Linked DNA regions of Rattus norvegicus. The protein of the gene in region 2 binds, or shares a complex with, the protein of the main gene of each other region. Links are inferred from orthologs where the notes say so. Each region holds a gene or a part of one and is shown on either strand. Other genes may lie near its edges. The genes, in order: Snrpd2, Plrg1 and Cript.

Region 1 (3,749 bases), on a different chromosome or scaffold from region 2:
CACCATGTTGCAGTGCCTGATGGGGTAAAGGGTGGAGGAAAAAGCCAGAGTGAGGGGGACATTCTGAATGTGTGAACCCTCCAGCAGCAGGCATAGGGACGGAGTTCAGGTTCCACAGTGGGGATGGGCAGGCTTCAAGGTGTGATCTCAGCCCCATCTTAAGTGTCCCTTCTGTGCCTCAGTTTCCCCCTTCTTGAAATGGAAACAGTCTACTTCATGGGGCTGATGTGAAGATTGGATGAAAGAAGCACTTAGGACCCCGGTACACAGTAAAGGTCACCAAAATGGCCCTGGCTCTGCAGTTAACTCTAACTCTGAGAGAAGCATTAGCTCCCTCCAAACCTTAAGTTCTGGGGTTAGACATGGTTCCCAACACGTGCACTCCAGTGCCTCATGGCCCTGTCCTCATGCAGGTGGACATGTGCTCACACTTGGATCAGTTCATTCCACGAATGCTTGCTTGAGGACAGTGACGATGAGCAAAGTACAATGCCAGATGTGTAGGACCACGTCACAAGGCAACTTCCATGCTAACTAAAACAAGGCAGGAGGGTATGCTTCGCCCCTGTAATCCTAGCGCTTGGGAGATGGTAGCAAGAGGATCAGAAGCATAAGGTTAGCCTCTGCTACATCTGTAGCCAGCCCAGGCTACATAGTTAAAGACCCTGCCTCAAAACAAACTAGAAAGCAGTAGAAGATATTTGACATTGATGTCTGGCCTACAGAGGAACAAACCAAACATCTTAATTCCTGTCCCTCCTCCTGCCGGGGATCTGATGACTTCTGAAGGTATTAGACATGTCCACAGTACACAGACAGACTCACCCGCAGACAAAACGCCCAAACACATAAGATAAAAAAAAAAAAGCCAAGCACCCCCACTTTCTAATTTTTTGAGCTAGCTGGGTCTTGCCCTGTGACCCTGGCTGGCTCCAACTGACAGTGATCCCCTTGAGTGCTGAGACTAAAGGCACTTTGTCACCTTGCCCACCTTATTACGACAATTCTTCTCAAATGACCTTCCCCAAGACAATGCCCACCTGTCAAAGGCCTTCACCCGGCCCAGGAGCTTCTTGTTGTTTCGACAGTTAATGAGCACTTGCGTGTTGTTTTTGACCGACTGTGTGAGCACCGAGAGGGGACCTGTGTTGAATTCCTCCTCCTCCCGCTTCTGCAGCTCCTCTGGGGTCATCTCACTCTTGGGTTTATTGAGGAGACTCCTGGATAGAGAACCCGGGGGGTGAGACGGGTTCAGGTTGGAAGCATAAGTGACCAAAGCTACATTGTCCAGTGTCTCCCCAGCCTGGCCCCCAAATGCCCTTCCTGGTACAGTCTTCTCTGGAGGCAGGAGAGACATTTCCAAGTTAGCCTGCTCCAGCTCATTAACCAAACCTCGTCCAGCCACTGTTGACCTTGAATTCTCAATTCTCCTGACTCCATCACCCAAGGTCTGAGATTACAGGGGGCTCACCATCATGCCTGGCACCTGATTCTTTCAAACCTCACTCTGTCGTCTTATCTTGTCATCTGCTTCCATGATATGTCCAAAAATTTGGCCATTTCTCTTCCATCCCACCCCACAACAGTGTCTCCCTGTATAAATAGACCTGCCCCTGGAACTCAGACTTGTCTGTCTCTGCCTCCAGGATACTGGGGTTACATCTAGTCTGTGTGTGGCTGAGGACCAAACCCAGGGCCCACAGTAGGTAAGTACTCTGTCCACTAAGCTAAATCCCCAGCCCAAGTATTGGGCTTTCAATGCCCAATACTTCTGTGCTACCTACTGGTGTTATTTCTTTCCTACTCAATTCTCCATTCACACTCCTGATCATCTAAGACATACTGTATGTACTTGTTTATTACTCTATGGCTTTCCTATTGGATTCTTTTTATAAGCCCTGAGAGATTTTTTTTCCTTGGTAGCAAGGACCTTCTATTTACCATGTGTCTAACTTACAGTCTACATAATATCCGCTCAATGAATAAACCATTGTAGTAGCCTGCTACTCTGACAATCTCTAATTAGGTTCAAAAGTCCTAATTTATCCTGGTTAAGTCCCATACGTCTCTATTTACTATTTCTAATAGTACTTCCTTCTCCGCCAAGCTCTTCATCCATTAAGACCACTTCTATATAAAATTACTATTACTTTTGTAAGCGGACACGCTATGAAGCTGGTCAAGGCTGACCACCAACTAGCGATACTCCTGACTCAGCCTCTCTAGGCTTGGGATTCTAGGCATGTGCCATCAGACTCAGTTTTTCCTTTACGGTTCATTTCCGCAAGCCTCGGTACCTAGAAGAGTCTTACACCCATTATGGAATAAAGCTGTCCCCTCTCCGGAACTCAAGAACCGAGGCCCCATGCCCGTTCTCAAATCCCTCAGAAGACATTATTTTTGCCCGAGAAACTCTACCCTCAGCTATGAGCACCCCATTTCGATTGTTATTTAGCTAAACCGTCCCCCTCCATCTTCGTGTCCCCGCCGAAGCCCGTCCCGGCCTCACATGGTGAAGGTTTCGCTAGCAGATCACTCCCGCCTCCAAGCGCGTTGCTTTAGCCTTTGGAGCACAGCAAGAGAAGGGCGGGACTTCCGTCTCCTGCGGCTGACTTCCGTCGACGCCTGCGCAATCACGACTGTGGGCGTGCCCTGTTACCATAGTGACTCTAAGGCTACGCTCTCCTGCAGAAAATGCCTATAGGGAGGATTTGAAGCCTCTGAGGATCACAATAGGTTGTCTGCTCATGCGGAAAATAAAACGGGGTCTGACTGAAATTGTTTTCCCGCCTAACTGTCTAGTTGGGAGAAGGAAAACGCAACCCGGTTTCCAAAATACCCGCCGACAATTTTCTTGAGGGCATGGCTTCAGGCAAACCAATCGGTTCCTTGTTTTAGGGATGGATGCCGCCCCTTTTTCCTTGAACCACAGTTTCTTGATCGACTTCCGTAAGGGGCGTGGCCCCGCGCCGGGGAAGGTTTCGTATATTCGGACACAGCTCATTGCCTGTTTCTCTCCCGTGGGGGCGGGCCTTAAGGTTTCCGCGCTCCCTTTTGGGTGGTGCGGCGCTTAGGAGAGCCAATCGCAATCGATTGGGGGAGGACGCAGTTACTGTGTTTCTTTATTGGCATTTGTAACCTCCGAGAGGCGAATCTTGGCCTAAACTCAAACCACCCTGCGGGGGGATTGGTTTCAGGGCAAAGCTGCCATGAGTCCGGCCAGCCGCGGGCGGTCTCGGCAGCGGCTCGGGGATCGCGGCCTCATGAAACCACCCTCACTTTCCAAGCGCCGTCTTCTGCCGCGGGTGCAGCTCCTGCCCCTGCTGCTGCTGGCGCTGGCCCTGGGCTTGGCTTTTTATATCGTCTGGAATAGCTGGCACCCTGGGGTTGAGGAGGTATCACGGAGCCGGGATCTGCGGGTAAGCCTTGGCTGGGGCCCAGCCAGCGTCATTTCCCTCTTTCCCTTCATATTGAGTCTCGGGTTAGCGTGGCCTTATCGTTTAGCCCTTGCCGCCTGTGCTATTTCTTTATCCATCACTTGAGCGTATGCCCCTTCCCAACAAAATAAGGTTTCAGGCTTGTTTTATGATTAGACCCCTCTGAAGAGGATGCATCCGCATAGAAACACTGGTAGATCTGAGCTCTGTGCCCAAACCATTTATTTAGAAGTCTCCATCACCCGTTTGCAATTTCTTCGTCAGGACTGCAGTAGGCTGGATCAGATTTGCTTTGAAGATTTCTCCCAATCT
Region 2 (3,565 bases):
CTGCTTCTGCTTCATTAGTGCTGGGATTAAAAGCATGTACCTATCACTACCATGCCCAGAAAGAACTTCAATCCTTTAATCCCAAATTATCAGCCATTGTCTTAAATTTTCAAAGAACTGCCTAAAAAAATTTCCTCTCAAACATCCATTAGGATTTTTCTAACAGAATTATCAAAATAGGGGTTTCAGAAATGGTTAAGGACATTGACTGCTCTTCTAGAGGACCCAGGTTCCATCCCCAGCACCTACATTGTGGCTCACAACTATCTGTAACTCTGTTTTCAGGGATCTGACACCTTCTTCTGGTTTTCATGGGCACCAGGCACACACATTGTATACAGATGTACATCTAGGTGAAACACACACACACACACACACACACACACACACGCGCGCGCGCGCGCGCATCCATCCCTGCCAACATGGTGTTAGAATCAGCAAGGCTCAATAAGCCTGAGTTCTTTATATTTACATTTTACTACTAAAACTATAAACTGTTTATTTTAGAAATCAAACACAGGTGAGGGACATGGGGAGCAGTTTATTGTAAAATACAAAGCAGCCATGTTTTCTGCAAGTGAGCATCCATGAATGACTGGACATCCTCAGCAACACCAAGCTATGAACAGGACAGCCATGAGGACACTAAAATCTCTTTCTCTTGATAATTTCTGGTTTCCAGCTGACTGGGTGAGTTTCTTCTGTCTGAAAACAGAACAGTAAACAAAGTGTTATTTTATTAGTTTGTTTCCTTTCAACAAAAAGACCTGTCTCTGCTAAGTCACAGTATTCATCGGCAGGATGTGTTTAGGAGATCTGGAAGAATTTTAGAAACAGCTGACAAACTCCTGGCACTATCCAAGGTTAACAAGGGATAAATGGTTTACCACATGCTGGGTTGGATTTTCACCTAACGTCAGATTTCCATTTAGATATTATAGCAATACCACCACTGTAATTCTACATCTTGTTTCCACAGCAGTCTACTGTTTACCATGATTCATGTATCATTTTCCTTTCCGGTAACTGTATTGAGGAAGAACTGGACTTAAAAAGTAATGCTTTTATACTGATGTTTCTGCATCAATGAAACCACACAGAAGTCCCAAGATCACTATCCAGGTGAGGAACCCCAAAGTACTCGAGTGAGTCCCTTTCTTTCTGTAATCGAATGAGCAGTCCTTGCCAATTGGCATGCAGTTGTTTTACTTTAAAATGCACGTCAAAGGTGGGTGTGGTGGCTCATGCCAATAACCTCAGCTTCTGGGAGGCAGAGGCAAGAAGACAGCTTCAAGTTTAAGGTCAACTTAAGCTACAAAGTGAATTCTAGGCTAGAAAGGGATACCATGTGATACCGTGTCTCTAAATATAAAACATAAATTAAATTAAACTAAAAAGGAAGATAGGAAGATAGGTAGGTAGGTAGGTGGATGGATGGATGGACAGATGGATGGACGGACACATGGATAGATAGATATGGAAACTAAGAACTTACCGCAGTCTCATCCTCTCTGTAAACTTTAATGGTTTTATCAGCTTCAGCTGTTAGTAACCGACTTTCTGACCGATCAAAAGCACAAGCGAATATTCCTGATTCACTGTCCAAAGACCCAGGCTGTACAGCAGCATGAACGCGCTGAAAATTATAGCCAGTTCTCCAGTCCCAAAGGTGCATAGTGCCATTGTCAGCTGTAAAGGAACACGTAGTTATATTTCTATCCCTTCCACAGCTCATGGCCCATGATATAAACTTCACATCGGCAACACAAGGATGTGGAACACACACACACACTCAAATTCCCTAATATGGTTTTGTCTACTTTCATTTGTGTTTAATTCAGAATTATAGACCTGGAAAGGAACCATAACATTTAAAATCCAACTACACTTCGGGCAGTTACTAGCATAAGTCCCTACCTTTATCACATGGGAATGCAAAGATGTCTAAACAATGCAACAGGCTACCGTGGATCAGGAGAGTGCACTACAACATAGTGTGATGCTGTAGAGACTACCCTAACTCACTCACGACAACAGAAGGGCAAACGAAACACCATGAAAACCTTGTGTTACCTCCAGATACAAGTACTCCATCCGTATTGACTGCCAGCGTGTTAATAATTGCATTGTGCCCAGAGAGATTCTGAATGAAGCCTCCGTCAGGGAATTTCCACTGCTTTATGTTATCTGGAGAACCAGATGCAAATGTGTAACTGGAACAAAGATTGACAAGACTTAATGGGGAGTACAGTGCATCAAAGAAACTCGCAGCTTTAAAAATCCCTGTGTGCTCACTGGTCCCGACAGCCTCAGTAAAATGTTCCTGTTCATCACAGTACAAAATCATCACTGTATTCATTCCAAGTGCCACCAGCCTTGTCCGACTGCTGAAATACACGGACATCCCAGAGCGAAGTTTTGGTTTCTTCAGTGTGCTACACTAAACAACCAATGCACACACACACTGGGCACACTGCTACACTAACAACCAATGCACACACTCACTGGGCACACTGCTACACTAACAACCAATGCACACACTCACTGGGCACACTGCTACACTAACAACCAATGCACACACACACTGGGCACACTGCTACACTAACAACCAATGCACACACACACTGGGCACACTGCTACACTAACAACCAATGCACACACACTGGGCACACTGCTACACTAACAACCAATGCACACACTCACTGGGCACACTGCTACACTAAACAACCAATGCACACACACACTGGGCACACTGCTACACTAACAACCAATGCACACACTCACTGGGCACACTGCTACACTAACAACCAATGCACACACTCACTGGGCACACTGCTACACTAACAACCAATGCACACACTCACTGGGCACACTGCTACACTAACAACCAATGCACACACTCACTGGGCACACTGCTACACTAACAACCAATGCACACACTCACTGGGCACACTGCTACACTAACAACCAATGCACACACACACTGGGCACACTGCTACACTAACAACCAATGCACACAAACACTGGGCACACTGCTACACTAACAACCAATGCACACAAACACTGGGCAAAAAAAAATCTTGAAGAAAGGGAAAGAAGGAACGAGAGGGATGGCAAGAGAAAGAGGAAGGAAAGGGGACAAGAAAGGGAAGGAGAGGGGAGCGGCAGAGGGAGGAGCTGAGCATCAGGAGTGATGTACTGACGTCAGTGTGACCCGCCTTCTCTGCTAACTATGACCGCTGGGCTGATGGCTCTTCCTCCATTTCCTCCCGCACACTGATTTCTCCCTTAGGAATCTAACTCTTCTGTCTGTCTGCCAGGACACCATATGTGAAACAATCTAAGACAGGTAAAGGAGGTTCAGTGCCCTGTATGTCCTGAACACACCCAGACACTACTCTGACATGCCTACTCTGACATGCAGCTTTAACTGTGACTTGGCCTTATTTGTCACAGGTAGAGGGGCCATGCCCTTCATTCCAGATAGAACGTGAGGCAAGAGAGCAACAGATGGGATGAAAGTCTGTCCGCAAGGAGCACTGGCAGAAGGTGTGAAAACAGCCCC
Region 3 (3,749 bases), on a different chromosome or scaffold from region 2:
GAAGACACCCTCCGGGGTCCGGACAAGAACGGATAACAATGAAAAGACTTCGGAAAAGTTTCTCAGATTCTCCCCTCCACTGAGGGATCGGGCAGGTAGGGGGATCAGAAATCCATCCTCTAAGTAGAGCTTGTCTCTGGGCCACCTGCAAATCCCTATCTAACACGGCGAGCCGTGCCCAAACGCAAAGGCCGGTTGAATGGAGCCCTTCCTCGGGCACCGGCGGGCGAGTTTCCCTAGCACGCCACACCTGGGAAGCCGCCCTTCGGAGTCGCGATCCCACGAGAGCCCGGTGGGAAGGCATGGCTGCTCCCGAACCCTCCTGAGCAGCCTTTGCCCGGGCGCTGACCGCGGCTCAACCCCACCCAGGTGACTCTGTCCCAACCCCGGACAGCGCGAGTGTGGGCAACTGAGGGGCATCATCAGAGAGAGCCCGGGCGGCCGACCCGGTAACCTGAGAGACGGTGACAGAGGGTCGGTCCCGCCGACAGACGCCGGGATCTCAGAGGGTCCGTCGCGCCATGCATCCTCTGGCCCGCCGGAAGCGTGGCGCCTTGGAAGCCACGGCAGCAGTCCGCAGAGCGACCTGCACCTGCCCCAGGAGAACTTAGGAAGCATCCCTCCCGCTTACCTAACTCTCCCGCCCGCCGAAGGGAAGGGGACACCACCGCCTCCCACCCTCAGGTGCGACAGGCTGCCATGGCCCCTCGCGCAGGCGCAGACCAGAAGGCGGGGGACTCACAAGCGGATAGCCAATCGTTGAAGAGAAGAGGCGGACCGATAAAGGAAGCCCCGCCCATGAGCTCGCGTTTATCCCTCCCGCGACTTTCTCCATCCTGGATAGGCCGGAGCGGGAGGGCTGAGTACGGAAGCGAACTGACGTAACCGGAAGAGGAAGTCTTCTCAGCTGTGTTGTTGATGTATTTTGGCAGCTGCTCCTGCTTTGCGGGTTGAGGGGGACAGGACGACCCGTGGAAGGATGGTGTGTGAAAAGTGTAAGTTAAGGCGCTGCTTCTGTGGGAGGTGGAGGCTGGAGGAACCCGACGAAATTCTCTTGGGATTTCGGCCTTTGTTTTTTCTCACCGGTCTGTAGTATAACCTTTGTCTTCCTTCCTTGCCCCACGGTCCTTGCCTATCCCGGGACCCTATAGCCCTATGCTTTGTGTTCAGAATGGTCTCAGTTCTGCACATCTATGCTTGTTTCTGTCACCGTCCTCGCGCCCTCCTTGGATCTCTTTAATTATAACTTCTTGACAGGATCCCAGAGACTTAAAAATCTTTCTGGTAGCATCTAGAGTTGCCAGGTGTAACAAATATAAATCCCAGGCTCTCAGTTACATTATAAGATTATAGGCAATGATTAATTTCTAGTATTATTAATATGTCCCGCATAATATTTAAATCTTGGCTTTTGTTCGCTGTTCCTTACTACAAAACATGCCGCATTTAATACAGATTTTACTTTAAAAATTAATTCAGTGGTCATCTGAAATTAAGTTTAATTGAATATCTTATACCATCCCGTCAGTTCATTAATACAGCATTAGGTCAGGTGAAGGAGAGAGTCTCATCACCACCAAAGAAATCTATGTAGTCATCCCTGGCTTTTAGAAAGGTCTTTTTAACTCTTTAAGTTACCATTCAGTAATTCCAATGAAACCCCTGAGATTTGTTGAAAATACTTATTGTTTTGTTTTTTCGTTTTCTGTTTTTTGTTTTTTACTGCAAAAGCTGTTGATTTGTTTAAAACAGCTTTCTTTTCTTGATCTCTTTCTTGGGCTAGACAGCCTTCTCTGACAAGATTCCAACTTGGATCTCAGTTAATGGCTAATATATACAACCACAGTACATAGAACTCTGGACACAGACACCACCTAGTAGCTGTGGCATCAGACTCAGCCACCATTCTTTTTTTTTCCAGTAAATTCTATTTCTTTATTATTTTTGAGATAATATAATTGCAACATTTCTTTCTTCCATTTCCTCCCTCTAAACTCTCCCATATATCCATCAAATTCCTGACCTCTTTTTTCACTAATTGTATTGAATGCATACATGTATATAGTTGTTTTATAAATGCAGCCTGCTCAGTTCATATATTGTTACTTGGATGTATGTTTCCGGGCTGACCATTAGCACTGGACAACCAATTGGTATGCCCTTCCCTCGGGAAGACCACTCCTAGCTACCTTCATCAGCTCCATTCTCAAACAGCTTTTTATTCTTTTTGAAAGTGGGGAAAGTGTTTAATTAAATGTGGCCTAAATGTAGATATGACCCTGTCCTTTGTGCTGTGCAGTAAAAGGCCATTTCTTTCTATTATAGTTACTCCTCTGCTCTTCTGAAAAATCTAATGTTTTACTATTTGTAACCTCCTAGTCTGTGTGCTCATTACACTCACCCTGTATGTAAACTGAACTCCTGCTCATACAGAAGCTGTACTGTCAGGCAGCCACCTCAGTTCTGCCTTTCCTTCTGTCATAAGTTGCTCAAAAAGTTCTTTGTCTCCAAATTTTTAGAGTTCTCTTCCATTTACTGGGTTCCAGGGTGTTTGTCTTGGTCTGCTTTGTTTCTCTTGATCCATTAGATCTTTGGGAAATGGTTGACCTCAGCTAGCACATCCATACCACTGAGTATCCAGTTCACCTCTCCACCTGACCTTTTCCCTACTTAAACTCTAAGAAGTAACTGTCCATTTGGATCTTGACGTCCGAGGCCCTCTACAGACAAACACCTAAGCTATCCTTCCAACCTCCTTTCTCCCACCTCACACTGAGCTCGCCAGAGTACTCTGTGCACTGTGGTACCCCTGAGCTTCCCATGCCTGACCTGGGGATGTGTCCTTTATTTACTGTTTGACTTCATCTCCTCATCTACTTTCCCAACACTTAAGCTCCATCTCCTTAGTTCACAGCTCAGGCTTCCAGCTTATGGTTCTACTGAAGGCTTCTTCACTTTTCAGAAAGGCTCCAGTCAGAACAAGAAAAGGTTATAAGCACATGCTCTAGGTTTCTGTGCAGTCCCGCCTGCTTCGTTTCCTCCCAGCTATCAGCCTACAAGCTCTTAAGGAGCTCGTGAACTTGGGTCTAAGCCCCTGAATCTAGACTCATGGCTTTGTTTTCCTCAGTACCTCCCACAGTGCTTTGTACAGACTAGGTGATTAGAGAATGTGGGAGAAATGAATACGTTTGTCAGAATTGTTTAAAGTATAATCAGTGGAACCTGTTGGTAGGGCATCTTGTTGTCCTGGAAGTTTTATTTAGAACCAGTATCTGTTGCCCACAGTTGCTATCATTCATTCATTGATTTCTACCCTGGTGTTAGTAGGTTCCTACTGTAGTCTCACTTTTCATGTCATTATGTACTTCAGGCATAATACAGTATATTTATTATTTTAAATTATTATTGTAACGTTAGCAGAGAAATGCGTTTTGTTATTTTATTTCCACACAGTGTGTGTATTAGATGACAGTTGTACTCTTTTGCTATCTTGCTACAACAGGTGAAAAGAAACTCGGCAGGGTTATCACTCCAGACACATGGAAGGACGGGGCCCGGAACACCACAGGTACTGCTTGCCAGTAGGAAACAGGAGCTGGATCAAGTGCTTGTGGACACAGCTCTAGGGCTTCACTGTTTGCAGAGTGCAGTGTTAGATGATGACTCTCTCGTCCATTAAACACAAAGAGGACCGGATTCCCCTGTGAATTCATATCTTTTTCATCATCTGAGTTTCATGAATGGATTCC

The links.
Region 1: Plrg1 (region 2) and Snrpd2 share a complex: the UniProt entries of both Homo sapiens proteins name them as parts of the minor spliceosome. The link is inferred for Rattus norvegicus from reciprocal best matches to the Homo sapiens genes PLRG1 and SNRPD2.
Region 3: Plrg1 (region 2) and Cript share a complex: the UniProt entries of both Homo sapiens proteins name them as parts of the minor spliceosome. The link is inferred for Rattus norvegicus from reciprocal best matches to the Homo sapiens genes PLRG1 and CRIPT.

The regions. Positions count from the first base shown.
Region 1 is NC_086019.1:87,925,245-87,928,993, reverse strand, and holds the start of Snrpd2 (small nuclear ribonucleoprotein Sm D2), read right to left. Parts: upstream 2,586-3,749; 5' UTR 2,512-2,585; coding exon 2,510-2,511; intron 1,221-2,509; coding exon 1,041-1,220; intron 17-1,040; coding exon 1-16. Other genes in the region: Qpctl (glutaminyl-peptide cyclotransferase-like protein), read left to right, coding at 3,210-3,419. UniProt on the Homo sapiens protein: Plays a role in pre-mRNA splicing as a core component of the spliceosomal U1, U2, U4 and U5 small nuclear ribonucleoproteins (snRNPs), the building blocks of the spliceosome.
Region 2 is NC_086020.1:170,719,480-170,723,044, reverse strand, and holds the end of Plrg1 (pleiotropic regulator 1), read right to left. Parts: intron 2,214-3,565; coding exon 2,074-2,213; intron 1,690-2,073; coding exon 1,496-1,689; intron 706-1,495; coding exon 646-705; 3' UTR 526-645; downstream 1-525. UniProt on the Homo sapiens protein: Involved in pre-mRNA splicing as component of the spliceosome. Component of the PRP19-CDC5L complex that forms an integral part of the spliceosome and is required for activating pre-mRNA splicing.
Region 3 is NC_086024.1:13,340,102-13,343,850, reverse strand, and holds the start of Cript (cysteine-rich PDZ-binding protein), read left to right. Parts: upstream 1-916; 5' UTR 917-979; coding exon 980-995; intron 996-3,502; coding exon 3,503-3,568; intron 3,569-3,749. UniProt on the Homo sapiens protein: As a component of the minor spliceosome, involved in the splicing of U12-type introns in pre-mRNAs. Involved in the cytoskeletal anchoring of DLG4 in excitatory synapses.